Diceros bicornis minor: one gene and its partners. The protein of the gene in region 3 purifies or fractionates together with the protein of the main gene of each other region. This does not show direct contact. Links are inferred from orthologs where the notes say so. Each region holds a gene or a part of one and is shown on either strand. Other genes may lie near its edges.

Region 1 (6,946 bases), on a different chromosome or scaffold from region 3:
GTGGAATTTACTTGTACTCTTCGGATTTTGGAGGGACAAATTATTTTCACCCCTCTTCCCAAATTCAGAATAAATCGAAAGGTAGCTACAGGATCCGAGAATTGGAGATCAAATATTACCTTTATTACTATTAGAGCCAATCACAGAAAGTGGCTTTAGTCTTGCTGCTACTTCACCCTGGCGTTAGACGTGCTTGCTCGCCTGGTGGCAGGCAGCAGTGGGCAAGCAAAGGTGTCCCCTTGGGTGCAGGGAGCAGGCCAGACACTGGGCAGGCTGGCTCCAAGAGGAGGGAGAGCTGGAAGGCTGAGCCATGATGCCCATCCAATCCGGTGAATCATTCCTCTGCCCCTGGAAGGGTTGGAGAGGCCAGGAGAGAGACAGTACGCAATAGATATTCCTCCATATGGAAATGTGAACAGTGGGGGAATGAGCGTTCCCACTATACACTTGAAGAGGCCCCTTCAATTCTAAGACAAACAACAGCATTGTCTACCTGTGAGTTCTGACAGGCTGGAGACCCAGCCTTCAGCCCTTAAAACCCCTGCCGCTTCCCAGGTTCTTGCAGACTGACTTCATCAGCTACTCAGGTTCCATTTGGTGGTTGAATATGGCCACACACACAGCCCCTGCCCCCCGCCCCCCAGTTCCTGAGGATACGTGTTAAAACAGTGTGGCAACAATCAGACTGGAAAAACAGCAAGCCAAATGCTGGGTAAAAGACAAAAGATGTAGGAGAAAAGATGACTCAAGGAACAGAAGGAAATGCCTCACAATTGCTTCAAGCTGTACAACAACAGGAACCGAGGTCCATTTTAAAACAAGACCTCAAAGAGGAAAAGGTAAGATTGGCAAATCTAAGGAAACAAATTGAGGACTGTGCCAAATTAGATGGTTCAGCAAATATTCATTCTCTTCCATTCCAGCTTCATGAGAAAAGTACACTTTCCCACCCCATGGCGGGTGGAGTGCAGGTGCCTGCCCCATGACTTGGGGCTTGACCATGTGACTTGCTTCTACCAATGATGGTGGCAGATGAGAGGTGACCTGTGACTTGAAATGTGCTAACAGTTGGGCTTGATCTCTTGTGCTTCTGCCTTCCCTTATGAGATGGTGCCCTCGGGAGCCCACTGGTTCCAGATTATGAGAGACGTGAGGAGTGGGAACAGCCTTGCTGACCTTCACACCTGCAATTCCAAACCATGAACATGATACATGCCACCGAGGCTGTGGTTGTTTGTCACAAAGCAGTAGCTAACGGACACAAGGACCAAAAACCATCATATGTAACAAATACACTGGAAATAGCAAGGACCAGGAGAGACACGGCTGAAAAATGAAATTATTGACGTGGTAACCAGTGAATGCAGGTGGAAATGACAAAGATGAGAGCAATTAGAAGCTAACAGATGTGAAGGACAAATGCATAATTGGCTTCCTTGAAACAGAGGACAACCAACCAGAACCTGAAAATGTACTCAAACACATGATTCAATAAAATGTCCCTGAAATGAAAAAGGTAAATCTGCAGGTTAAAAAAAAAGTAAAAGTTGAGTCCTTACACACATTTACTCAACTTATCCTTACAGTGGGCCTGTAACCTGGTGCAAGTTGGGGAAAGTGAGGCTCAGAAAAAGATGAGACCTTAATGCATAGTGATACAAGGTCTAGGAGGATCCTTCCAGTCGATGTTGTTAGAGGATGCTTTGTTAGAGGACACTGGCAACAGTAAAGACACGGCCTGGGCAACCTAGAGGTGGGACTGAAGTCCCCTTGAAGCACAGAGAAGGCGTCGAGAGAAAACCGGGCGAGACAGAAGCGCTTAGCCTTGGCTGGAGAGAAAACCCGGGATGGATTCCCCAGGAGCTCGACCCTGGAGCCACAGCAGGAATATGATTGGAGGAGACAGAAGAGCGCATGGATTTCTAAAAGGAGCGAGTGGGAAGAGAAATCCTGGAGCAGGATTTTCTCTGGACTTTGGAACGGAGTCGCAAGAGAAATGCCACCGGGTGTGCAGCAGCGCCTGCGCATTGAGCTGTCTGGGTTTATTCGGGGAGAAATGGTTGGAGCAAACTGGCGCAAGCGCATCTGCAACGGAGATGTTCTGGCTGGGCGGCGTCTAGAGCGGCTGTGCCCAGCGCGCACGCGCACTGCAGGATCCGGGCGCGCGGCCTCCGGGCGCTTGCACACCGAGACGGCGGCGAGAGGGCGGGGCCTCCTGCGTGCCCCTGCGCTAGGGGGATTGTGGGATAGTGGCGGACGGAGACGGGCGTCGGAGGCCCTGAAGAGGACTGGAAAGCCCGGAGACCTCGCCGGTTTGGGGAAGGGGAGGTGGAGGAAGTGCGCCTCGACTTCCGTCGGCCGCTGCTCAGCATTGCGGCCTGTTCGGACTGCGGAGGACGACGTCTTCCCCGACCGGCGTTTGCTTTCCTGCGGGCGCTGGGCCGGGCCGGGAAAACCGCGGCGACTTCCCCGCTGAGGGCCTGCGCGGGCCTCGCGACCCTGCTAGCCTCCTCCGGCCCCCAGTCGCGGCTCGCGCCCACCTCGCCGGCGGCCCCGGACCCACCCCCGTCCCAGCCGGCGCCGACCCCCGACACCTGGAACTCGGCTTGCGAGGGCCCCCCTAGCCCCGAGGGCGCGTGCGCGAGCCCCGGCCCGGCCGCCTGCGCGAGTCTCCGCCGCGGCCCCCCGCCCCCACATACCGGGCCTCGGAGCAGGGGCCGGAGCCGCCGGCGGCGGGGCGGGGGGGGCGCCCCGATGAGCCCCGAGTGCGAGGAGCCGCCGCCCCCCCGCGCAGGTGAGCCGGCCGCCCGGGACCCTCCGCCCGTCCAGGCATCCTCAGTCCCCGCTCCGCCCGCCCTCCTGCGCCCCGCTTAGGTACCCCCGAATCTGCTCAGCCCTTTCTCCTTTGGGCCCTTCATTACTTCTTGGGCATTTCCCTCCTCCAGTCTCTTCCTCCTCCGCCCCTAAGTCTTCTAGTCTCTCCCCTCAGCCCCCCAAGTCTCTCAGTCTCTGCCCCTCGGCCCCCCAGGTCTCTTAGTCTCTGCCCCTCGGCCCCCCAAGTCTTCTAGTCTCTGCCCTTCGGCCCGTCACGTTTCTTAGTTTCTGCTCCTCGAGCCCCCAGGTCTCTTAGTCTCTGCCCCTCGGCCCCCCAGGTCTCTTAGTCTCTGCTCCTCGGCCCCCCAAATCTCCTAGCCTCTGCCCCTAGGCCTCCACCCACCCAGCCAACGTTCCCCAGTCTTCTCCCTTTGACCCCCGCACCTCCATTTTCCCCACCTTGGGACTCAACCCCACTCTTTTCTCCCCTGGCCACTCCCTCTCAGACAGCCTCCTCTTTTTCTCCTCAGCCCCTTCCCCTTGGACACCCCCTTGCCCCTCTTTCTCTGTCGCCGGCTGTCTAGACCCCAGCTTCTTGGGGACTCGCACTCTTGGTCAGGACGACTGGATAGTGGGCCTTCCCCTTCCCTTGACCGTGGCTCCCCCACCCTGTGTTTCTGGCCTCTTGTGAGGGGGACCTTGAGAGCCAGCCCTCTGGAACAGCCGCCATTCGATCCCACTTCTGTGAGATGAGCCTGCTGAGGGCAGGGCAGGGAGCCTGCTGCTGGGTGTGAGGGAGGGGGACCTGCCTCTGCCGTGTCCTGGGGAGACAGAGGCAGAGGGACAGTCACAATTACTGGTGTTGTGATAGAGGTAACTCAGGGCGCCACAGGAGGCCACAGCCGAGGGACTGGTGAGACTGGCTCAGCGGGTGGCTTTTTCTGTCTAGGAAGGATGAGTAGGAGTTGACAGATGGAGAGTGGGAAGAAGGGCCTTCCGGGTGGAAGGAACAGCACGTGCAAATACGTGAAGGTCTGTGCGCTGGGGTGCAGATGTGTCGCGAGGGAGTGGGGCATGACACCTGCCGGGGCTGCCTGTCCGGGCCCTTGAATGTGACCTTCTGGTGAGGGTCTTCCTTGCTTGCTCTTTTGCACACCTGTACGTCTGTGCTGAGGATGCAGATGTTACCGTTAACCAGAAAGGCAGGATGTTTCTGGAAAGGAAGATGTGTTGTCAGGTGTGGTACGGGGTTCAGAGTTGTCAGGAAACTTCAGTGGGGTGTAAAGTGGCACCGACATCGCTGCTCTCTGCACAGGGTGGCTCTGGGGACCCATGCGCTGTTGGCAGAAGTCTGTAGCAGAATGCAAGGCACAGGACGTGCTCCAGGATCAGTAGCTTCTAGGATTGTTATTTGGTTTGGGGTGGTCTCTTGCAGTGCGTTTTCAGCTGGGGGTGCATGTGTCCCCCAGGGTTCCTTTGGCAATGGCGGGAGACAGTTTCAGTTGTCACAGCTGGGAGGTGCTACTGGCATCTGGTGGGTGGAGGCCAGGGATGCTGCTCCACATCCTGCAGTGCACAGGACGGCCCCTACCGCAGAGGGTGACCCGGCCCCAAATGTCACTAGTGCCGCCTGGAGAAGCCTTGCTCTCTCGCTTGGGTATTATCTGTACTTTTGGATTATCTGCTCTGTTGTCATCCGTGGGGAGCTGTGTATTCTGAGTTGTGTGTTTTGATTTACTCTTGTGTTTTTGTTGGGTCATCTTGTGTGTTTCTGTTAGAGGAGAACCTGCTCATCCCCCCAAAAAACTTTTTTTCACGATCTCTGGCCAAGTGACCTTAGCAGGTCACCTTCTCTCTCTGGACTTCAGTTTTCATTAATTCAACAAGTACCTCTAGCTGTGGGCCTGGCCTGGTGCTGAGTCCTGGGAAATTGGCATCTTCTGGGGGAGACAGGTGATTGAACAGGCAGAGCCTGTCACACAGCCGTCAGGTGCTGTCGTAGGGTGACCACGGAAGCCAGGGAAGCGTGGAGCAGGCCCTGAACACAGTCAGGGGAGGCTTCCTGGAGGAAGTGGTGTCTGCGCTGAAGCCTGAAGGACCCACGAGGAGCTAGTGAGGCTCAGAGAGCTGGAGGGAAGGCAGAGGGAGCAGCTGAGCCAGGGCAGAGGCGAGGGCGCGTCCAGCAGTCAGGTGTGGCGGGAGTGTTGGGCGCCATGCGGGTTGCAGCAGGAGAAGAGGTGAGAGGCCGGGGAGCCTTGGAGAGAATGAGAAGCCTTCCTGTTGCACCCGGCTCTCAGGCAGGCTCGGCCCTGGGGGTGGGGACGTGCCCTCCTTTCCGGGCCAAGCATGGTTTTCCCTTTGAACCCCGGTTTACAGTAGCTGTGAGGTGTCTCAGGTGAGGAGACTGAGGCTGTGTGGGTTAGGTCCCTGCTCGAAGGCCACGGAGATTGACGTTTGGAGAGACGAGGTTGGCCCCCAGCCTTTCTGACTCTGGATCACTCTGTAACACTTGCTCTGCTCCTCTCTGTTTTCCAAGGGCTGTTTCAAAATCTATGCCTTGTTCTTTTCCTTTTTTTCCTTTGAACCAGTGACCGATCCAGAAGAGGGTCCTGATGTGAGCTCTCGGCCCCTCCTCAGTCCTTGGCCAGCTGTCCCCAGTCTCTCCTATTTCCTAATTACTCCATCCCCTGGGGTTGGACCAGACTGCCACCTCCCCTGGGAGGTGTGCTCTGGGGTCAGAGGGGGTGGCGCCTAGGGTATCCCCTCACTGGGGACCCCCTCAGGCTTTCCCGAGCCATGGGAAAGTCCCAGCTCATGGTCCTGTGTGGCCTTGGCTGGGTCTCTCTCCCTCTTTGGCCTCAGTGGCCCCTTCTCCCAAGTGAGCGTCCCGCTGCCTCCCTTGCTGGGTTCCGCATCTGGCACATACACCAGGTCCTGCTCGGAGGTTATGGGGTCGCCATTACCGTCATCCCATTCTTGGAATCGGGAGTCCCCCACCCCCTTTCCAGATTTGGCCGAGAACTGACAGTGGATTGGGGGAAGTTAGAGGAGGGTGGTCTCGCTGTCCTCTGACCCACCCTGCCCTGCAAGGGCCTGAGGGCTGGCCTGCGGGTAGTGGGTTCCCTCCCCTCCTAGGGCTCGCCTAGTCCATGTCTCATTAGAGCTGTTGTGGGCCAGTGATGGCTGAGGGTGGCAGCAGTCAGCAGGCCTGAGATGGCCTCTCCCAATGCTGGCGCGTCTACCGAGCCTCAGGGCAGCTCAGGTGGCCGCCTCGGAGGCCCTCCCAGAGGCCTCTGCGCCCTTGACCTTCACTTCCGGGTGCTTTAGGGACAGGGCAGGCTAGGAAGGGGTGGCAGATAAAGGATCAGCCCACAGGCCCCCTGGCAGGCGGAGCTGTGTTTGGACAGATGGTGGCAGCAGCAGTAGCAGCAGTGACAGTGGTGGTGGCCTGCGGGAGCCTCAGTCGGACCCTGTCTGAGCCCAGGCAGGGGCAGGGGCTGGCAGGATCCTGAGAGGGGCAGCTGGTATCGGAGGCCTGAGCACAACACAGCAAAGCAAGAAACCCGAGGCGATGGTGCAGAGCTGGCGCAGGGAGAGGTAGTTTTCTTTTTAATGGCTTCCTTTCTCATTTACAGTTTCCCCTTCTTCCGTTTGCAGCCGGAGTCATGGTTTTCAAACGGTCGCTAAAAACCAGTGGTAGTCACTTCCGTTTTCTTGAAGTTTGCTAAAAGTTGCAAAGGGTGGGGGCAGCGGGGTGCGTGGCGCCCGCCAGAGTATTTGAATGACCTGACTCACTCCGGCAAATGGGGAGTCTTCTGTTTTCAGTGCCGTCACCCCTGGGGTAGAGGCTGTTTCCGTCCCTCCTGCTGCAAGTGTCCAGGCTTCTGCGTGGCCGCGGGGACAGACAGGAAGGGGCCAGCACTTGCCAAGCCCCTGATGTGTCAGGACCGCCTGCCTCAACCCGGCTTCTTCTCACAGCACGGCCTTGCCCGGTGGGCTGTGCCCCCGTTTCACAGATGAGGACACGAGGCTCCCGGATGCCAAGTGCCAGACCCAGGTTATGCTGTTAGAGAGTGAAAACGAAAGCCGCCTCTCCTGTCCAGTCCCAGGGCTTCCAGCAAGTTCCGTTAAG
Region 2 (7,143 bases), on a different chromosome or scaffold from region 3:
ATCTCTTTAAAGGATAGAATAAAAATTGACATAATAGCATGGAGGGGTGGAGTTTAGAAAACAGGAAAAACTTTCTGAGAAATGGAATGAAGATCTGAGGGAGAAGGAGCCCAGTGGACTCCATTTTCACAGAGGGCAGAGACTGTGAATGAAATGACAGAGATGCTGGAAAAAGGGTAGATCTTTGAGGTCAGATTCCAGTTGGTCTGAGCTGGAGGAAGAAGGGTGAGATCTCAGGACATAAAGATCTCAGGATCAGAAGGTCTATCCACTGGGCCAGGGTAGCAGGGTACCATCTCCAGCAGATGGCGTCTCTAGGAACGGAGGGAAAGGAAAGGGCTTCAATTCACTGCATTTCATTCATCTTGCCAAATCAGCCCTGCAGGCAGAAGTAGGGCAGGGATAGCAGAGAGAAGCTGGCTACAGGGGGTGTAGCTCAAGCAGTCTTTTCTCTTTTGTGAGGTCACTGAATGCCAAGCACCCAAGATCCTTGCAGCGCTGCTTCGGTGCCCCTCAATTTCTGTCCTGTTCCCAGCCCCTCTTCCTCTTTTCTTAGTCAGCACCTCCAGTTCATGCTCTTCCCTCCACTGCCACTTCTCACAATACTTTTTTGTCTGTTTCCCTCCTGCCCCCCAGATCTCAGCTTTGGAGACCACTGGTTGGCAGGGACCTTGCTCCGGCCCTCAGCCTCTGTCCTGCTCCCTCCAGATCTGCCTATCGCATTTACAGACAGCACATCAGATGGCATGAGGCCCAAGTCTGTAGACCAGGAGAGAGATCTCTCCTCGTGGCTGGCTGAGGGGTCCCCTCTACGTTGCTTCCAGATGTAATGAGCATGGACAGGCACAGGGCCTGGGCGGGTTTCCTAGGCCTCTCCTTTTTTATCCTTAGACCCACCTGGCAGGGCAGCAGAATGCTGTCTGCAGAGGCCTGAGCACTTGTCTCCCTCCTTCCCTGCGGTGGACAGGCATGCACTCGACACAGGCTCAAGCACCTTCTCAGCCACCCTGAGTGGGGGGAGGGGCAGTGGACAGATTGCAGTGGGAGAGGGAAAAGGGGAAAAGTTGATTGAAGGAGCAACTTTCCAACAACGTGAATGCTCCTGCGGGGGGAGGGTAATAGCACAGAAAGCCTGGGAGGAGGCAGGATTCTTGCTCACAGCTTCCTGGTCTTCCTGGGAACTCCCAACATCTCAGTAGCTGGGAGTGGTCCCTGGAGAAGGGGAGCCTGGGAGACTCATCCTAACAGAAGGTCCAGAGAGGCAGGGCCTATGAGTGAGCTGTACAGAGGTATGCAGTAATGTTAGTTCCCTTCCTGCCCCTCCACCGTCTTGGTCCTCTGGAATTTGGTACTTCTTTCTGGAATGGGGCTTATCATTTCAACTTTAAGAGCACCCGAGGGTTCTTAACTCTGAGACACACTGAGGCAAGCCCTGATGGCATGTGGGAGGGTTGGGCAATGACAACAGTGCAGTCCTGGGAGAGAGAGAAGGAACTGCGATGTGGCTGGGATTTGGAGCCCTTCTCTGTGCTGCACGAGGAGAGGTGGTAATAGCTCTCTTACTCCCCATATGACCAGAATTTTAGAGGGAAGAACTCACAATACTTTCTCACTCCTGAACCTTTCCTCCCTCCAGCTTTATCCGCCTAGCCTCCTCCCTCTCCAACTTGGCCAAATCCTAACCACTCCACCCCTCCAGGCCCATCTCAAAGCCTATCTACTCCCTTCTGCCTCCCTTTTTTGAGTGTCCAGCTGGTTATTTGGCATACTCTGGCCAGTCCGTCATTTGTGATTTGTGCTTTTGTCTATGTGCACACACGTGCATGTGCACACACACACATACTCACTAGACTGTGAATTCCTTGAGGACAGGAACAATATCTATTTCTCTTTTCTTGGCTTGGTTTTCTGCCATTTAGGTGCTCAGTAAATGGAAAAATAATGAGTGAATGAGGATGTCATTATGTACTGGTAAGAACACTGGACTGGGGGGCCGTCCCAGTGGCATAGTGATTAGGTTCACCCGCTCCGCTTCAGCAGCCCGGGGTACACAAGTTCGGATCCTGGGCGCGGACATATGCACCGCTCATCAAGCCATGCTGCGGTGGCGTCCCATATAAAATAGAGGAGGATGGGCATGAACGTTAGCCCAGGGCCCATCTTCCTCAGCAAAAAAGAAGAGGATTGGCAACAGATGTTAGCTCAGGGCTAATCTGCCTCAAAAAAGAACACTAGACTGGGTGTCAGAAAACCCAAGTTCTGGACTTGGCTCTGCAGTTAATTCTTGGTGTGATCCTGAGCCAGCCTTCTCCAGTTCTGTGCTTTAGGAAAGGGAGGGGTGACTAGATACTCTAGGCCCTGCTGACTGTGACATCTTTCTAGTTCTAAGTTTCCTGAGTTCTAGAACTCTGCTCACCCTTCTCTGTCTTCTTGACTCAGACTGGCCTGCGTGTGCCTCCCATGAACAGAGACGTCCCAGGTGGAGACCTGGTACCCCAAGGCCACACTCGCCGCTGCCTGTCTGCAGTGGAGTCCAGAGAGCAGCTGGAGGAAGAGGAGGAGGAAGAGGGAAAAAAGGAGGGAGATGGCTTCCATGCTGTACCCCTCCGAAGGTCGGGGGCTTTCCGTGCCCAGAGCCACAACTATGACCCCTTCAAAAGACATAGTTGGGGGCCAGGCAGGGAGCTCCAGGATCCAATGAGCAGGTAAATCCCCAGGGGACTTTCTGTCCTCCTTCCCTCAAGTCCTAGACTCAGGAGAAAGTGGTCAGAAACGAATGACAGGAATTGAAGAGACTTGGGTCCCTAGTCTCTTCCCTAGGGAATCAGAACCTGGGCCTATGGGAGGGCTTTGGGGAGGATGGACCCTGCCTTTCAAAATGTGGCTCTCCCTAGTGGTCCTAGCACCTTCTTTCTACCTGGTCTCAAGGGCAGGTGGGGGTCAGAGTGGAGGGGGTAAGGTGTGGAGTTGGGGTGAATATCAGGACATTTGGTCTTATTGCCTCCATCTCCACTTGGGTTTCATAGACGCATACAGAGATGCCAGAGCTGGAAGGGATTCAGGGATCATACGACCCAATCTCATTTTACAGATGAGGAAACTGAGGCCCAGAGAACTTTGGAAGGTTTCTTTCTTGAGAGAAGTGGTCACAGGTTTGGAGCATTGAATCTGCCCCTTTCCCAAATTGCTGCCTACCTGCTGGGTCCAGGCTGAGGCAGACCCAAAATGTTTTGGTCATCATAGTACAGCCCTGCAATGGGAGAATAGCTACTCTTGCTCAGAGGTCTGCATATGCTTGGCAGACCGGAAAAGAGGGACCCATCTCTTCTGCTTCTCCTGGAAAATCCCTGACCACTTCCCCAAAGACAGAGGAAGTCAGAAATAGAAGGCCTGGGGTGAGCGTGAAGAGTTCAGTGTGAGTGGTCATGTGAGGGCCTGCTAGCCATGGAAGGGCACTGTCTCTCTGCTTTGGCAATGGTCCCCTTGGACGAGTTCCCTTAGCTCTGGTGAGTAGACCAACTTTCTCTAGCTCCTGGGCAGGGCTGGCTGGGCCGGGTTAGGGGAGAGGACCCTGCACCTTGTCCCTGAACTGGCTTGGGTGGGAACTCAGGAGAGAACCTTGCCTGCAGGGCTCATGGCACCTTCCTAAGAGCAGCTGGTCCAAGGCAGAGATGCCCTGGGTACCCCTTATGTGATGCCAACTGTATCTCAGAGTCTTGCAGGTGCCATCTTTCACTATCAGGCATCAATTCTTGCCCTTTGGGTAGAGAGGGAAAGGAGCCCTGGGCACGCTATTCAGCTGAGTCGGGGCAAAGGCTGTCATCAGAAACCAGGCAAGGAGTGAGAATCCAGCTTGCCCTTCATTTGCCTCTCCCGGAGCACTGGCTTTCTTCTGGAGGGCAGTACTGCCTGTTGACCAGCAGGGGTCACTCTTGCCTGTAGCTAGCTCTGCACCTCTGCTAGAGCACAGCCCCAAAGAGAGGCTAGTTTGGGTCTGAACTGAGCCTATGCCAACAGGAAGGGCTGGGCTGGGGGCAAGCAACAGGGCTCGGCTGAGGCGGTGTTCCTCCCTGGTGCCCGTCAGTGGCCACTGGATACCGAGGGCGGTGGTGGCAATGTGTGTTTCAGGAGCAAACTGCAGGCATCGGGATGCGCGGGCCCCCGGGAGGCCCCCTTACTGCAGAGCCAAGAGGAACTGGACACCTTTCTGGAACTGCAGCACCGAGGTGGCCAGTCCTCCCGCGTGGTATGGACAGACTAATCCCTATGGAGGCCACTGCCTTCCTCCCCCTCTCCTGCCTCCTTGCCTGTCCAGCCACCACTCTGTGCCTCTTCTGTTCTGCCAGCTGCTGGATTTCTCTGTGCCCAGGCATCACTCTGACTCTATCCGACTGAATCTGAATCTGTTGTCTGTACTCCTCTGTCTGCTTCCCTGGGTCTGTCTGCTCTGTTCCCCACTCTTGGTATCTTGCCTCTGTCTCTTTCGCTAAGACTCTCTGTTCCTTCCTTTCTGTGTCTGTGTCTCTGTGTTGATGTGGGTATCTCTGTTCCTCTTTCGTTAAAAGGCCCCTATTCCCCTAGTTGTTAAAACCACTTCTTTCTGTAGACCCCCACATTTCTCAGATTTGGAGCTGAACTTATTATTTGTGGGATGAAACTAGGCATCTGGTACCTTGAAAGACAATAGTTCTCTAACAAGATAATCATGAGATTATCAAATGAGACAGGATAGAGAGATTGCCCAGCCTTCTGGCTTAGGGAACATAACTGGGGGGAGCTCTCAAACCAGGACCTAAGGACCTGAGGATATGAGGGCTTTGCGAGACACCACTGGGTCTACTAGCTAAGACTTCCTGAGTACACAGAAATGTCTCAAGCCTGGTGACTAAATGTTGCCTCCCTTCCTGCTCATCCTCTAGCTGGCCAGGGTTACCCACCCCAGCCTCATTGTTCCAGTGCCTGTGGTTTGGGAGACAGGCTGAGCGCAAGAGGCTGTTACAGCCTGTCAGGGGAAGACCCATCTGATCCCCTCACTCACTTTTCTCCATCAGCATCTCTGCATGTCTTCCCTCACCCCCATGTCAATATGGTATCATAGAAAGAACAGGATTTGGGAGTCAAACTGACTCTGAGATCCTTCATTTACCAGCTGAACAATTCATGTCGTCTCTCTGAAAGCCAGGATAATAACAACTGTCTTTTAAAGTTGTGATTATTCAGTGAAAATAGGTGTTCAAGTGCCCAGTACAGAGGCTGGCACACAGGATGAGTGCGAGAAATAAGTTTCTTTTTCCTCTTTTCCCCTCTGTTCCTTCATACTCCTTTCCCTCTCTTCCACCTGTCTCTTCTCCCCACTTTCCACTTTCCCCTTCTTGGTATTATATGTTCTCTTCTTTCCCCCCTTTCCCTAGTGTTTTTTTCTCTTTTTATGCCTTCCTGCTCTGATTCCTCCCCTCTCTCCACCTAATCTTTAAGCACTCCCCTTACATTTCTCCTTGTCTATATGTTGGAGGTTTTTTGTTTCTTCCTGCAGTAATATGTGCGTATCAGTACTCTACCACAGTCCACGGAGCAAAAGTCTGAGACTCATTAAACTCGACTGGGGCTTGCAGACTGACGGTCTATGAGCCAAGTCTAGCTCCAAAATTTATTTTGTTTGGCCAGCATGGTGCTTACACTTTCTAAAATTCAGATGTCCTTAAAGGAGGCCTGTGCGCTCCAGTTTGCCAGAGTTGCTAATACCCTCTGTTGTATTTTTTCCCTTTGTCTTTTAAATATAATATTTAAAAATGAATGTCTGGTAAATTGACCACCCATCTCAAGAACTAGAACATCACCAATACATTTATCTTTGTTTACGTCTTCCTCTCTTCTCTTATTCTCTTGCTTCCCCACCAGAGATAATCACTATCTTGAACTTTCTTTTACCACTCATTTACATTTTTTATAGTTTTAACACAGATATATGCATTACCTAATAATATATCATTTCTTTTTTTTTGTTTCTGAGTTTAAAAACAATGATGTTATATTGTACAAAATTTTCTATAACTTACATTGTCATTCAACATTCTGTTTCTAATTTTTATCCACGTGTTGCAAATAATTATAGTTCATTCATTTTCATTCCATTCTTCTGTTCATGGACATTTGAGCAATTTCCATTCTTTGCTATTATGAAGAATTGTCGATATGAACATCCTTTTTATCCACCTTCTGGTGCACATTTGCAAGAATTTCTCCAGGGTGTATACCTTGGAGTGGAATTGTTCGGTCGTAGAGTGCACAGATGTTCATTTTTACAATATAATGGCAAATTGTTTCCACTCCCATCAGCAGTACATGAGAGTTCCCATTGATCCATATCCTTTTCAACATTTGGAGTCATCAGATTCCTTAATTTTGCTGGTCCAGTAGTTATAAATCTCATTATGGTCTTAATTTGAATTATCCTATTACAAATGTGGTTGAGCATCTTTTCATATGTATTTTGTTCATTTGTGTTTCCTCTTCTGTGAAATTCCTCTTCATGTCTTTTGCCCATTTTTGTATTGGGTTCTTTGAGGGTTTTTTCTTTATTGTTTTGAATGTGTTCTTTATATGTTCTGAATACTAATTATTTGTTGTTATACGTGTTGAAGTGATCTTTTCTCAAAGATGGAGAAATATGGTTTGTCTTTTCCCTCTCCCATAGTGTCTTTAAATAAAGAGAATTTTTTAATTTTTTAAAAATTAACATATTTATTGGAGTATAACATACATATAAAACATGCATTAAAAAACTTTGAGGGGCCAGCCCGGTGGCACAAGCCGTTAAGTGCGCGTGCTCCGCTGCAGTGGCCCCGGGTTAGGCAGTTCGGATCCCAGGCGCGCACCGATGCATCGCTCAGGAAGCCATGCTGTGGCGGCGTCCCATATAAAGTGGAGGAAGATGGACACGGATGTTAGCCCAGGGCCAGTCTTCCTGAGCAAAAAAAAAAGGAGGACTGGCAGATGTTAGCATAGAGCTGATCTGCTCACAAAAAAAAAAAAAAAAAAACTTTGAGATTTTTATTGGAGTCGCATTGAATCTAAAGATTAGTTTAGAGAAAGTTGACATCTTTATCATATTGCTTATTCCTATCCATGAAAATAGTATACCTC
Region 3 (7,440 bases):
GATTAAACAGAAAAAGCAATAACCAGATACATTTGTAAAAAGTGCAAGGAATAAAAAGTTCATCCATGAGTATCTACTCTTGAGGAAGTTACTTTTCTCTGGGCGTCTGTCTGTAAAATGGAGCTAATAAGATTGTTGTCACAAGGTGATGAGGAATACATGAGCTAATTCATGTATATAAGGTGTTCGGTGCGCAGCGCAGAGCTGGTCCTCTGTAAAGTGTGGTGCTATTCCTAGCTATAAATGAACTCTAGACACCAGCCCTGAGTTAGACGTGTTCATATGCATTATCTCTGGTCTCCATCATAACCATGGCCCTGTGGCTTCCTGAAAATGGAGAGGTGGCTCACCTATGTCTATGTTTCAGAGACCCTGGTGATCACTTAGGAGGACTGGGACAGTCGTGTCCTAGGAAACAGAAGAAATCGCTAAGGAAGGAAACCGCAGGAGCTCCTGGAGTCCAGAGCTGTGGTAGCAGAGTGGGAAGCAGTCAGACACACTCCTGTTCAAACCCAGGCTCCAGCACTAACCCTGACATTTGGCAAGTTCATTACCCTCTCTGAGCCCTAGTTTCCTCATCTCTAGAATGGGAATAGTAATACCCACCTCAGGGAGCCGTAGAGAGGATCTGATAGTACAAGTGAAAGGCCAATTTGGTGAAATCTTTTAGCTACTTTCTGAAACTATAGCAAAAATTTATTGACATAATGGAATTCGAGGTCTGCAGCTCTTCTCACTGCTCAAATATCCTATTTCAAACACCTCAAGTCTTTGCGAGTTCCCATATTAATGGAAAAAAATCCCCATTGACTGCCAAAGGGGAGTTTAGGGAATATTCAGTCATTCTGCTCTCCTTCAGGAAAGAACACCAAGGCCAGGTGGGCTCTGCCATACATCCATGTGCATCTAGATGGAGATTTCTACCCAGAGCTGCAGAATGCTCTGACAGCCCCCGTGTCTCTCGGCTCCATCCATTTCACAGTGCCATGCTGGAGTTGCACAGAAACAAGAAACATTGGAAGAGGTTTGTGGGCAAAATGGCAACCAGTTTTCATCGTGGGACCTATGCTTTTGGACTACAAATCGTATTTCAGAAAGTGCTGGAAGGAAATTTTGAGATCTATTTTTAAAATGGAAATGGAGGCTCAGGGAAGTTAAAGTGACTAACCCACATAATGGCAGAACCAGGAGCCCAGATCTCCTGCTTTGTGCAAGGAAGACTTAGAACATGTTCCAGTCAGCAAGCTCTGTACACTCTCTCGTCTCCTTGCCAAACTACCCAGTGTGTCTATCACCTCTCCCAAGAACTCACCCAGCACTCTGAGGGACGCGTCCCTCCTTTCTCTCTGCTGTGGATGTCAAGAGTCAGGTATACTGAATGAGGTGAGTCTGCAGGAGGGAGCTTCTTACTGCCATACAGTTTGGTAATGTGAGGACTGCCACCTTTCACTGGAAGGGGACACCACCTGCTTTCATTGCCTACCTGACTTATCAGCAAGGGAAGCAATGATACTGGGCCGGCCCTGTGGCTTAGCAGTTAAGTGCGCGCGCTCTGCTACTGGTGGCCGGGGTTCGGATCCCGGGTGCGCACTGACGCACCACTTCTCTGGCCATGCTGAGGCCGCATCCCACATACAGCAACTAGAAGCATGTGCAACTATGACATACAACTATCTACTGGGGCTTTGGGGGAAAAAAAAAAGGAGGAAGATTGGCAATAGATGTTAGCTCAGAGCTGGTCTTCCTCAGCAAAAAGAGGAGGATTAGCACGGATGTTAGCTCAGGGCTGATCTTCCTCACACACACACAAAAATAATAAATAAATAAATAAGCAACGATGCTGGTGACACCTTCCTTTTAAGCACTTTACAGTTTATAAAGAATATTCATATCCATCTTCCTATTTGTCTTTCCTCCCAGTTCTTTTTCTTTTTTTTTTTTTTGTGAGGAAGATCAGCCCTGTGCTAACATCTGCCAATCCTCCTCTTTTTTTTTTGCTGAGGAAGGGCCCTGGGCTAACATCCGTGCCCATCTTCCTCCACTTTATATGGGATGCCGCCACAGCATGGCTTATCAAGCAGTGCGTCAGTGCGCACCCAGGATCCAAACTGGTGAACCCCGGGCAGCCGCAGCGGAGCGTATGCACTTAACTGCTTGCGCCACTGGCCAGCCCCCCTCCCAATTCTGAGAAGGCATCTTGAGTAGGATTCATTTCCAGTTACTGAGGTTCAGAGATGAAAAGTGAATTGCCAACTTTCCAAAGAGGACTATTAAAAAAAAGTCAAACAACAATAGCATCTTTTCCTCATTTGGATATTTTTCTCCAAGAAACTCTGAGCATATTATCCCTTGACTTTTTTTTTCTCTAATGTCTGAAATGTTACCTCTTCAGGAAGGCCTTTCCTGCCCACCCAATACTCAGAGCAAACACATTGCACGCACTCTTACGTGATATTGTTTTAAGCCCTTTCCAAATATTAACTCCATTAGATCTCAGTACAAGCCTATAAGGTAAATATTATTATCTCCATATGAGGTAGGCACTATTATTATCTCCATATTGGAGCTGAGAAACTGGAGCACAGAGAGGATAAATAACTGCCAAAGTCACACAGTGAGTAACAGAGCCTGGACTTGAACTCTGGCCATCTGGTGCTCGAGTCTGCACACTTTTCCTCCACTATATTGCCAACCTAAAGTAGGCCTCTTCTACTCCATTTTTCTTGCACTACCCCTTCTTTCCCTTTTTAGCACTAACCACACTTTGAAATTAATGATTTGCTCATTTATATGTTTATTGTTTGTCTCCTCTATTAGACTGTAAGCCCCATGAAGGCAGGGATCATATCTGTCTCATTCACGTCATAGGTACGATATAACTATTTGTTGACTAAATAAAGAAATGTATGCTTGTGGGCATCATTCATTCTGCAACAAACTTTGAAAAATTAATTTTACTTTGAAACAATTTCATACTTACAAGACAGTTGCAAGAATAATACAAAGAACTTCACCCAGAGACCTCATTAAAGTTTAGCCAAATGTCCCCAAAATACACTTCAGAGCAAGAGGATCCAGTCCAGGGTCACTTGCACAAAAAATATTTATTGACCTCCTGCTCCTATTGGATTATATAACAGTCTCCTAACTGGTCTTTCAGATGCAACCATTGCTTCCTACAGTCTCATACAGCAGCCACAATGATCCTTTTAAAATGAGTTAGATCATGTTACTCCTCAGCTCAAACCCCTGCAATAACTCCCCATTGCATTAAAAGTAAAAATCAACGTTTTTTTCATCTCTCCTATTCCTCTCACCTTGCTCAACTACACTAATCTTCTTGCCATTTCCCGAAGATTCTAGACATGCTTCTATCTTAGGGCCTCTGCATCAGCTCTTCACTATAATTTCCCTGAAGTATCTGCATGGCTAACTCCCCCACCTCTTTGTTGGTTCCTAAAAATGCATCACCCCATCTCCCCTACCCTGATGGTTTTTTTTTCCCTTGCACTTATCACTAATATGCTATACAGTTATTTATTATATTTATTGTTTATGTTCTGTCTCCTCTACTAAAATGTAGCTACGAGTTGAGGATAGGGATCTTTGTCTGTTTTGTTTACTGAATATCCCAAGCGCCTACAACTGTACTTGGCACATAGTCGGTGTTCAATAAACAGCTGTTGAATGAATGAACGTAAAGGTATACTAAGTGCCAGGTCCTGTTCTAAGCGCTAGAGGTACAACAAAATCTCCTCGTCCTCCTGGGACTCACACTGAAGTATATTTAAACCAGACAGACCTATGTTCCAATCTCGGCTCCCTGCCTGTTCCCTGTGAGATTTAGGGAATGTTACTTAACCTCTCTGAGCCTTGCTTTCCTATCAATCGTTATGAGGATTAAACGGAAAGCCAGCATTTGTATAGCATTTAGCATAAGAAATGCTTTAATATTTGTTTCCCTTCCTTCCAGGCTGGAAGACTGGTAGCCTGACATCTCTGCCACAGGTTTATGCAAGGTTTTCACAAAACCTTGAAAAGGTGCAAACAGGTTATAATGGCCAGGCTTACACAACTTTTAACTGAAGATGTTCTGGTGAGAGAATGCTTAATAGGGTCAGAGTGAGAAACCAGGGAATGGCTAGGGTCACCTACTTCGCCGTTTTGCGTTGGAAAAGCCTCGCTGGGTGCCCAGAGGTGAAAGTCTGCAAGAAAGAAAGGGGAGGAAAAGAGGAGTAGCTGGCCACTACTGAAAACTACAAATCCCAGCACTCCCCACGGCAGACAACTACGGGTCCCAGCAGGTTTCACTGTCTGGAACGAGGCGGCCTCTAGGGGCGTGCAGCCTGGGTTCAGCGGGAGAAGGTGTGGGGCGGACCGAGGCAGCGGGGAGAATCCGGTCAAGCTTTACGCCGTTGCGCAGACGCCTCTCACGGGCCGGACGTGACGTAGGGAGAGTTCCGGCTTCGGCCTCCGCCGCTGCCGCCGCTACTACAGCAGCCGACGCTGCTTCCGTCGGGGCTTGTTATTTCTAAAATGGCGCCCCTAGACTTGGACAAGTATGTGGAGATCGCGCGGCTGTGCAAGTACCTGCCGGAGAACGACCTGAAGGTGAGCCTGGCCGGGGCAGGAGCGCTGCTTGCGGTGCTCGCCCCTTCCGGCAGCGGGGCACCCGCCGGCCCGCCCTTCCTCCCTCCGCGGGACCCCCGCCGGCATCCCGTCCCGTCCGGTCCCGGTGGAGGGCCTGTCGCGGGGCGAGGCCGCCCGGTGCGACTCGGCGTCGCGCGGAGAGCGGGGGAGCCCGAGTCCCCCGAGTGCTGTCCCCGTTCCCTCAGCGGGGATCCCGCGGGATGCAGCGGTCTGTGCCCCAGCCTTGCCCCTCTTGGTCTCCGGGCAGCCCCTGGGCTCCGAGCCCTAACAGCTTTGCTTAGAAGGCTCCTCTCCCCTAACCCCTTACCCGGGCTCCGGGAGTCTGAGCCGAGCCCCAGCGGGCAATGCCTTCGGGATGGGGTCATCCCCCAGAGGTGGTGACAGGAGCCCGGGTGGCCGGCGTCTGACAGGAGATGCCGCCGGCTCCCGGAACGCGGCCCCCGTGTGTGTAGGTTTTTGGGGAGTGGGACGAGGGTGGGCCAGAGCTGTTGGGTAGAGATGTGAGAACGTCCAGTCGTTCCTCTTTCCGTCCGTCTTCTCCCAGTTGCTCTTTAGGAGTGTTGGTTTGCGTCTGCTAATGCAGATGGGAATCCCGTTTTGGAGTCCCTTGTTGAGCTAACTTAAGTGGATAAAGTAGTAGGCCCTCAATAAATACAAATACTTTTCTGTTCCCCCGTAAATTTCTGAGTGTAATTTAGTAAAGGAATGTCAGTCTTTGGTTTACTGCTCTTTTGACAAGTGTTTTTCTGCGTTTGTTAAAACCAGTGCTTAGGTGTCGAGCAGTGTTGAGCCAAGTGCTAGTGTCTGTTTTATTCGTTCAGTTAACTTTGATTTGCTGTGTGGTGAGTGGCTAAACTGTTGATAGTTTTGCGTTCTTTTTATTGTTTAGGCTGTGGGTTTAAAGTAATTTGTCTTTGTGAATTCTTCCTCTTAACGAAGATGTTACTGTTTTTTTTTTTTTTTTTTTGCTGTCTTTTTTGGTACAGGAAGTTGATATTTAACATCAGTCAACAAGTATGCAAAATGTTTAAGGCCACAGGAGCTGTTGTGAATGTAACTTACTTGTACTCACTTGTTAATTATACGTGCTGTATGATAGGGGAGTCATTCTTGTGCATTTTCCCCTTTTTGGTAGGATAATTTAGTTAAAATGAAGACAGAGCCAATATTAGTAGAAATGTAGCTTTCGTGCTCATCTGAATCCTTCAAACGTTAGTTTTGTGGCTTCTTTCTGCTATACGTTTTTTTAGGAAATGAGGGTACCACCACCATTGGCACCCAGTTCATGGAAAACTAACCAGACATTTTTTGGTAGCACTGTTAATCGCGTAGGTGAAGTTGGTTTTTGCATGTCAGTGAATTGATGTTGAATTTTCTGTTCTTTCATGTATGTAAAGCTGTTTAAGCTTTGTGTTTATAATGAGTAAAATGTTGCTTATTGCTTTAGGCTTCTTAGTTTGATAAACATTAGATTTCCTTCCCACCTTAAGGAAATATAGTTATTAAACCATTTCATTTCCCTTTGCAACACAGTTGGACTGTACTTAGCATGTATCTGTTTCTTTTTTTTTTTTAAAGATTTTATTTATTTATTTTTCCCCCAAAGCCCCAGTAGATAGTTGTATGTCATAGTTGCACATCCTTCTAGTTGCTGTATGTGGGACACGGCCTCAGCATGGCCGGAGGAGCGGTGCGTTGGTGCGCACCCGGGATCCGAACCCGGACCACCGGCAGCGGAGCGCGCGCACCTAACCACTAAGCCACGGGGCCGGCCCAGCATGTATCTGTTTCTTAATAAATTTTTTTTTGTTAATTTTCTGGACAAATGGGAAAAAAAAGAATTCTGACTTTTTCTCTATAAGTAGAGGCTTTTCTTCTTTGTCTTGGAAATGTTTTTATCAGATTAATTTGCTTGCACTGCTCATTTCTGGTATATTTAAAGAAATTTAATTTTGTTGCTACTTCTTGGCATAAAGTACAGACTAAATTTAGGCAGACCAAGAAAGTATTCCAGGAGCACCTTTCTGGAGGTTTTAAAGCCAAAATAAAAGATTCTATCAGAGGAGGAAAAGAAGTCATTGGGGCTACTTAATGGTCATTATGGAAAAGATTTGTTCTGGTAGAAGAAAGAAATTCACCTGTGTTTTAAATTGACTAGAAGAAGTTGCGAGTACTAAATAAAATAATAAATGTGTAGGATGTTCTAGGTCTAATCAGGATTTCTCTATATTTAAGTTGGAATTGGTCAGATCACTAGTACTGGATCGAATCTACATAACTGGAAGGAATAAGGGTGAAATTTGTGAGAGTAGACCAAAGCGTAACCTTCTTTTCTTAAAAAAGAGCTCATGTGATTCTCATCCACAATAAAGATTTCAGAGCAGATCATGGAAGATACAGATTCCATATCTGGCCAAGTGGAAGAATGAATGATAGAAAACAGGTTTACAGAATACTTAAACTTCAGTATGTTGGCAGGAGAGGGCTTCTGTAATTTGGCGATTGTCTGATCTCTTGGGCAGTTCTTAAAGGTTGAATGTAAGTAAAGTTGCGCACTGAGTTGGTGTTCAGTTTTTTTACTGAAGAACTGAAGACAGTTGTGGTATGGGTTGGGAGAATACTAGTGTCTGTCTCAGAGATGCAACACAAGGAATTATGTAATTCCATAGTAACCACTTATGGATTAATAGTTAATGTCGTCTTTTTGGAACTCACTTTTATGTTTAGTCTGAGCCACCTCTGAGTTTTTCATATAAGGCTACCTGCTCTGCAAAGTTATACCTGTCTGAA
Region 4 (7,199 bases), on a different chromosome or scaffold from region 3:
CAGGGCCTTTGCACGTGCTGTCCCCTCAGCCTGGAAGGCTCTGACCCCTCATTCTTCTCATAGCTAGCTGCTTCTTGCCCTCCAGAGCTCAGCTAACATGAGAGTTAGAAGAACCAAAAGGGAAGAGAAATCAGAAAGGAAGGGACATGGAGAAGAGGTGAAAGGCTGAGAGTGTCAGTGATGGTCCAGGCACTAAAAGGCCAAGGGCGTGGCAGGGAGAAGCCATGGGGGAAGTGACTGGCAAGGTGAGAGTAACAGGCTAGAGAAGGCCACAAGGACAAGGCAGGTGGGTACAGTGACAAAATGGGGGAGGGGGGGCGGTGAGAGGCAGGAACTAAGCGCAAGTGACAGACTGGGTGAGCTGGTGGTGAGAGGACAGGGGATCTGTGGCAAATGGTAGTGGTCAGTAACAAGTGGGTGGACAAGGCAGGTAGGCTGCAAGGACACAAAGGTGGCAGGTGGGGGTGTGCGGAAGACGTCACAGCGACAGGTGGGGGGCATTCAAAGGGGCCAAGAAGGTGCACGGGGGAAGGTGACAGAATGGGGATAGGAACAGCAGTCAGTGAGTGGACAAGGGAGTGATGGCAGGAGGCCCTGCGGAGGGAGTGTCCTACACCCCACCGGCAGGAGCCGGCAGCACTGACGGGTGGGACAGAGCACTGACGGGTGGGTCAGAGCACTGACGGGTGGGTCAGAGCACTGACGGGCAGGGCCCCTAACAGACAGGGGTGAGGGAGGAGGCAGCGAGGAGGGGGATGGTGACACTGACAGGCTAGGGAGGACTGATGGGGGACCTCGACGGGCAAGGGGGGGGAACCGATGGGTGGACAGACAGGGTGGACAACGACATGGGGACCTGGCAGCACAGGGGGGAGGAGGGACATTAACAGGGAGGGCACTGAGAGTGAGGGTTACTGACAGAGAGGAGGGAGGACTGGACAGGGAGGAGGGGCACTGACACATGTGACACTGATAGGAAGGACGGCACTTAGGGGGTCACTAATGTGGGAAACACTTGACTGGGAGGAGGTGGGGGAGGGGGTGGACACTACCTTGGGGGACACGGGGGCAGCACTAACACGTGGGACACGGATGGGGTGGACATTGATGGGGCGGACACTGCCTTGGGGGGACAGGGGGGCAGCACTAACACGTGGGACACTGAGGAGGAGGGCACTGATGGGGCGGACGCTGATGGGGGGGCACTGAGGGGGCGGACACTAACGGGGAGGGTACTGAGGGGGTGGACACGGACAGGGGGCCACTGACGGGGCGGACACTGACGGAGGCACACTGACGGGGCGGACACTGACAGGGGGGCACTGACGGGGCAGACACTGACAAGGGGGCACTGAGGGGGTGGACACGGACGAGGGGGCACTGACGGGGCGGACAATGACGGGGGGACACAGACGGGGCGGACACTGACGGGGAGGGTACTGAGGGGGTGGACACGGACGAGAGGGCACTGACGAGGTGGACACTGATGGGGGGACAATGACGGGGCGGAGACTGACGGGGGGGCACTGACGGGGCAGACACTGACAAGGGGGCACTGAGGGGGTGGACACGGACGAGGGGGCACTGACGGGGCGGACAATGACGGGGGGACACAGATGGGGCGGACACAGACGGGGCGGACACTGACGGGGAGGGTACTGAGGGGGTGGACACGGACGAGAGGGCACTGACAGGGTGGACACTGATGGGGGGACAATGACGGGGCGGACACTGACGGGGGGGCACTGACGGGGCAGACACTGACGGGGGGCACTGATGGGGCGGACACTGACAGGGGGCACTGACGGGGTGGACACAGACGGGTGGGCGCTGAGGGGGTGGACAGGGATGGGGGGGCGCTGACGGCATGGACACTAACGGGGGGCGCTGACGGGGCAGAGCGCTGATGGGGTGGACACGGACGGGGGGGCGCTGACAAGGCGGAGCGGTGACGGGGTGGACACTGACGGGGGGGCGCTGATGGCATGGACACTGACAGGGGATGGACACTGAGGGGAAGGGGGCACTGACAGGGTGGGCACTGATGGGGTGGACACTGGTGGGGGGTGGACACAGAGGGGGTGTGGACACTGGTGAGGGGTGGACACAGAGTGGGGGTGGACACTGGTGAGGGGTGGACATTGGTGGGGGTGGACACTGAGTGGGGTGGACACTGGTGGGGGGTGGACACAGAGGGAGATGGGCACTGGTGGGGGTGGATGCTGGTGGGGGGGGTGGGCACTGAGGGAGTGGGCACTGAAGGGGTGGGCACTGAGGGGGGTGGACACTGAGGAAGGGTGGACACTGAGGGGGCGGGCACTGACGGGTGGGGGCACTGACAGAGGGCAGACACTGAGCAGGGGTGGACACTGGTGGCTGGTGGACACTGAGGGTGCTGGGCACTGGTGGGGGCAGACACCGGTGGGGGTGGACACTGGTGGGGGTGGACACTGATAAGGGGCGGACACTCGTGGGTGGTGGGCACTGACGGGGGAGTGGACACTGGTGGGGGTGGACACTCGTGGGGGTTGGACACTGAGGGGCAGTGGGCACGGGGAGTGGACGCTGGGGGGGGCAGACACTCGTGGGGGTGGACACTGATGGGGAAGTGGACACTGGTGGGGGGTGGACACTCGTGGGGGTTGGACACTGAGGGGGAGTGGGCACTGGGGAGGTGGACACTGAGGGGGAGTGGGCACTGCGGGGGGTGGACACTGGTGGGGGGCGGATACTGAGTTGGGGCGGACTCTGGTGGGGGGCGGACACTAAGGGGGTGGGCACTGAGGGGGGCACTGACGGAGGGGTGGGCTCTGGGGTGCACACTCCGGGGGCACCGACAGGCGCGGGCACGGTTTGAGGAGCCGCGGCGGGCGGCCTCACTCACCTGCCCCGCGGGCCCGGCGACGCGGCGGCTCCTCGGAGGCCCCGGTGGGGGCCAGGGCGCTGGCGGAGGCGAAGCCCGGGCGGCCTGGGGCGCCCCGCACGCACATGGGCCCGGCCGGGCGCGGCGCCCACGGACACGGCGCGGGCCGGCCGGCAGCTCGAGATCAGCTAGGGCCGCGGGCGGCGCTCGGGTCTCTCCAAAATGGCGGCGGCGGCCGGGCGCACGCGCGTGGGGGGCGGGGCATCGCGGGGGCGCGCTCGTTCGCGGGGGGCGCGGGGGCGCGCGCTCACGTGGACGCGCCCGGCGGCGGGAGCGCGAGGGCGTGGGCCGCCGGAGGGCGGAGTGGGGCGCGGTGTGGTTTTGTCCCTCTCCTTTTCCGTCTGAGGTGTTGCTGAGTTTCTACACAAGCGTAATTAACTTTCTGTAGGATGATGCGTTTGCAGTAGTAAAGTTTCCAATGCTACGTCAGTCACAGAACGGCCCCTCCAGAGACCCGAAAGGATTTGAGGATGCCACACCGGGGCAGGGGTCTCCCGGTTCTCTGGGGCCTTCCTCTCCGCCTGAAGACCCTCCCCCTGGCGCAGCTGGGTGTCTCCGAAGCTACTTGGGCTCGCGGCGTGGACACGGTGGGCAAGAGTGAACAGTGGTCAGCCCCCGTGTGCCAAGCGGAGGTCCCCCTCCACTCCTGCTTCCTAACTGGCCTGGGGGCGCCTGAGCAGCAGCCCCCAGACTTGTGTTTTCCAGGTGCCCCGCAGGTTCTTGCAGTGTTTTGCACATTAAAATATGTGCCCATTTAACATTTGTTGGAATTGTTTAATTCAATCAAACTAATCTCTAAAATGAGAATTATTTCAGGTGTCAGCGTGAACCGTGGGAAAATGTTGGAAAGAGAAGTCGAGCACTTAAGAAATACCTAATACTTGTGCTAGGTAGCAACTTGTTGCCTCTCAGCTGCCGGTGCACCGCGGCGCTCTGCGAAAACGGGTCTGGGCTCGCCTGTGCTCAACTGTGTCGGTAGGGGGCGCAGGAGAGGCGTCGCGGGAGGAAGGGTGTGTTCCGGGCCTCGCTCTGCAGTTTGCCCGTCTTCCTTCCCTGCATCCAGCTCCTGCAGCTTCCCCAGCTCTCCCTTGGGCAGCTTTATAGCAGAATGTCTCTGGTGAGGCATCTCTCCCTAAACACCTTTCCCTGGTATGCTGCAAGGCAGATTTCTGGCAAGTTCTATAGTGTGAACTTCCAGGAAGTGGTGGTAAAAAAGCATCAGCCTTAAACCGAGAAGAGGAATGTCCTGCAAGCCCTGCAATCGAAGGCCCCTCCCCACAGAAGCTGGGGGTGCCGTGGTTGAGCTGCAGAATGGGGGCTCAGGGCCAGGGGTCCTGTGCGGGAGATGTTCCCACTGGTTGTGCCGCTGTGTGAGCGCCTGCAACCCTCTGCCTGATCTTGATGCTCTTCCTGTGCTCCGGCCAGAGTGCCTGGGGTCAGCTGGGGCCCCACTCCTCCTCTCATCCCCCACACTGGATTCATCAGCAAGTCCCTCCACTTCTAAATATAGCCAGCTCTCCACCACCGCGCCCTGATCCAAGACCAGTTTCTCTCACCTGACACAACAGCAGCCTCCCAACGGGGCTCCCTGCTTCTACCCTGGCTACTTGCTGTAGGCCAGCTTGCTGTAACCAGCATAGCACCCAGAGGGATCCAGTGGAAAAAAGTTGGATCACATCCCTCCCCCAGGGCTCCCGTCTCACACAGCGCAAAGCCAAAGTCCTTGCTACTACTTACAAGGTCCCATGTGATCTGATCTCATTTCCCCTCCTCTGTCCCTTGTTTGTTGGCTCCAGTCATGATAACCTTGTCACAAGCCACTTGCCCATGCTGTCCCTGCGTCTGTCATGCTCTTCCTCTAGTTATGGCCGCACTTACTGACCTGCCTCCTGAATCTTACTCCACTGCCCCCTTCTCAGTGAGAGCTTCCTGGCCTCCCTATTTCAAATCTGAAGCCTACATTCATGCATGCACACACACACGTGTGCATGCACATGTGCAAACATGCATGCACACATGCAAACTTCATAGTCCCCTTCCCTGCTTGGTTTTTCCTTGTTGTATCAATAATCATGGTCCAATAAGGGGATAGAAACCACACAATGTCTTCAACAGAGGAATTTTCATATAGAAATTATTGAGAACAAGGGATTAATTGTAAAGGAGTAAAGAGAACTCTAGATTCAAGAAAGGACAAAAGTTGGAAGGTGGTCCCCTCCCCAAGGTGGGAGTTCATTCTGTGTTGGAGAGTTGTGTGGCTGCAGCCCAGCGGTCGACATAGACATTCTCTGGGGTGTCCCAGGACACAGCTGATCCATAGTCCCTGAGCAGAGACTAATGGGCAGGAATACACCCCTCCAAGGTGCATGCTGGCTAAGCCTGGAAAACTTCCTGCTGAAGTGTCTGCAAGACTCACTGGGAATCCACCCATGGGGGTGCTGCTGAAACTCAGTGAGAAACCATCCAGAGAGGTGGCACCGCTGCATGTCTTCCACATGTGACTCTGACAGCTGTGCAGTAGGAACAAGAAGAGAAAGGATGCACATCGAAACCAGAAGTCCCTTCTTCCAGCAGTGACCCTCCGGCACTCTGTACTGGCAAAGCTTAACATTGTGCCAACTGCAAAAGAGAAATGCTTACAGGATCCAGCTCCATTATCACAGTGCAGGTAAAGAGAAGTGGATTTGGATCTGAGGCAATCAGTGGAAAACAGGCAGAGTTTGACTCTCTGGGTAGTCAGCTTCTGTACGCATCCTTTCAAACATATTTGAACTTCCATACTATAAGAAAACAATGCTATATTTTCACCTAACACGATACATCCATCCTTATTGCAAGTGAAGAAATTCTCACTCTTTCCCCAAAGGCAGCATATTCACAGTCCCATCAGTCATTGAATCTATCATTGGCTACATTAATTACCCCTCAAATTCTGTCACTGTTCCACTGAATATTCTCTTATGCTCTTATGTTAAAACTAAATAGGAAAGTTAACCTCTGACAACTTGTATATTTAAAAAAAATGGAAAGCAGAGAGAAGAAAATGGTGCATATATACAAATAAACACACACTATAACATGCAAAGAGAAAATGCGCAAAACTGCTACAACCTATGTTTCTGTAATTGGTCACAAGATGTAGTTGATACATGTGGCTTTTTAACAGATTTCTCTTCTAAACTCTCTTCTAGTGTACACAGAACAGTTAGAACAAGCTGAATTCAGTATTTCTGACACAGAAGGACTAAGTAAAATAAATTCTATCACTAAGAACCCCAAATGCAAAATTATTGACCAATAAATTGGAAAAAGTGAAACTGTGATGTAAAATGAGTGCTGCCTCTGGAGTGCCGTCAGAGCAGGAGGAACTGTGGCTCTGTCCTGGTCTTCTCAAGAACCCCACAGTGCAGCAAGACACAGGACAGGGCATCCAAAGACCACCACTCTGTGAACCCAAGTAGGACAAACACAGAGAAATCCACACCCATAGACACCATAACCACAGCGCAGCGTGTCAGAGACAGAAAGAAAACCACAAAAGTAGCAGGAGAAAAATGACCCATCACATAAAGGGGACAATGGTACAATTAATAGCTGACGTCTCATCAAGACAATGGAGTCCATAAGGCAGTAAAATGGCTGAAGGAAAAATAAAACCTGTCAATGAAAACTTCTACACCCAGCAATACTATCCTTCAAAAATGAAGGTGAGATAAAAATATTCCCAGATAAACAAAACAGAAGATTCATTGCCAGCAGATCTGCCTTGCCACAAATACTAAAGAGATTTCTTCAAGCTGAAATGAAATCACATCAGATGTTCACTCAAATCAACAGGAATGAATGAAGAACCATATTCAGCAACATGTAAAAAGGATCATCTATTGAGACCAATGGGGTTTATCCCAGGAATGCAAAGTTTTTTTAGCATCCAAAACAGAATTAATGTAATACACTATATTAATAGAGTAGAGGATAAAAACCACTGGATTTGTCTGATAGTTGCAGAAAAGGCATGTGGCTAAATTTAATACCTATTTATGATAAGTACTCTCAATAAAGTAGGAAAAGATGGGAAATTCCTCAATTTCATAAAAGATATCTAGGAAAAATCTATACTAACATTGAACTTAATGGTGAAAGATTTAATGCTTTTCCACAAAGATGTGAACGAGGCAAGGATGTCTGCTTTCACCATTTCAATTCTACATTGTAGAATTCCACATGTAAGGAGCTTGGGCATCACCACTCCATCCTAAGAACTAAAATGCTGAAC

What was found.
Region 1: the proteins of PPP6C (region 3) and PPP6R1 purify together in Homo sapiens (affinity purification with mass spectrometry; 11 studies listed by BioGRID and IntAct, with this or other methods). This does not show direct contact. The link is inferred for Diceros bicornis minor from reciprocal best matches to the Homo sapiens genes PPP6C and PPP6R1.
Region 2: the proteins of PPP6C (region 3) and ARHGEF2 purify together in Homo sapiens (affinity purification with mass spectrometry; 4 studies listed by BioGRID and IntAct, with this or other methods). This does not show direct contact. The link is inferred for Diceros bicornis minor from reciprocal best matches to the Homo sapiens genes PPP6C and ARHGEF2.
Region 4: the proteins of PPP6C (region 3) and PPP6R2 purify together in Homo sapiens (affinity purification with mass spectrometry; 9 studies listed by BioGRID and IntAct, counting the BioPlex papers as one, with this or other methods). This does not show direct contact. The link is inferred for Diceros bicornis minor from reciprocal best matches to the Homo sapiens genes PPP6C and PPP6R2.

The regions. Positions count from the first base shown.
Region 1 is NC_080773.1:33,275,783-33,282,728, reverse strand, and holds the start of PPP6R1 (serine/threonine-protein phosphatase 6 regulatory subunit 1), read left to right. Parts: upstream 1-3,935; 5' UTR 3,936-5,027; coding exon 5,028-5,051; intron 5,052-5,626; exon of another isoform or gene 5,627-6,411; intron 6,412-6,946. UniProt on the Homo sapiens protein: Regulatory subunit of protein phosphatase 6 (PP6). May function as a scaffolding PP6 subunit. Involved in the PP6-mediated dephosphorylation of NFKBIE opposing its degradation in response to TNF-alpha.
Region 2 is NC_080743.1:59,647,495-59,654,637, reverse strand, and holds the start of ARHGEF2 (rho guanine nucleotide exchange factor 2), read left to right. Parts: upstream 1-4,122; 5' UTR 4,123-4,246; intron 4,247-7,143. UniProt on the Homo sapiens protein: Activates Rho-GTPases by promoting the exchange of GDP for GTP.
Region 3 is NC_080767.1:33,595,929-33,603,368, reverse strand, and holds the start of PPP6C (serine/threonine-protein phosphatase 6 catalytic subunit), read left to right. Parts: upstream 1-4,418; 5' UTR 4,419-4,536; coding exon 4,537-4,611; intron 4,612-7,440.
Region 4 is NC_080764.1:452,118-459,316, forward strand, and holds the start of PPP6R2 (serine/threonine-protein phosphatase 6 regulatory subunit 2), read right to left. Parts: upstream 3,020-7,199; 5' UTR 2,885-3,019; intron 1-2,884. UniProt on the Homo sapiens protein: Regulatory subunit of protein phosphatase 6 (PP6). May function as a scaffolding PP6 subunit. Involved in the PP6-mediated dephosphorylation of NFKBIE opposing its degradation in response to TNF-alpha.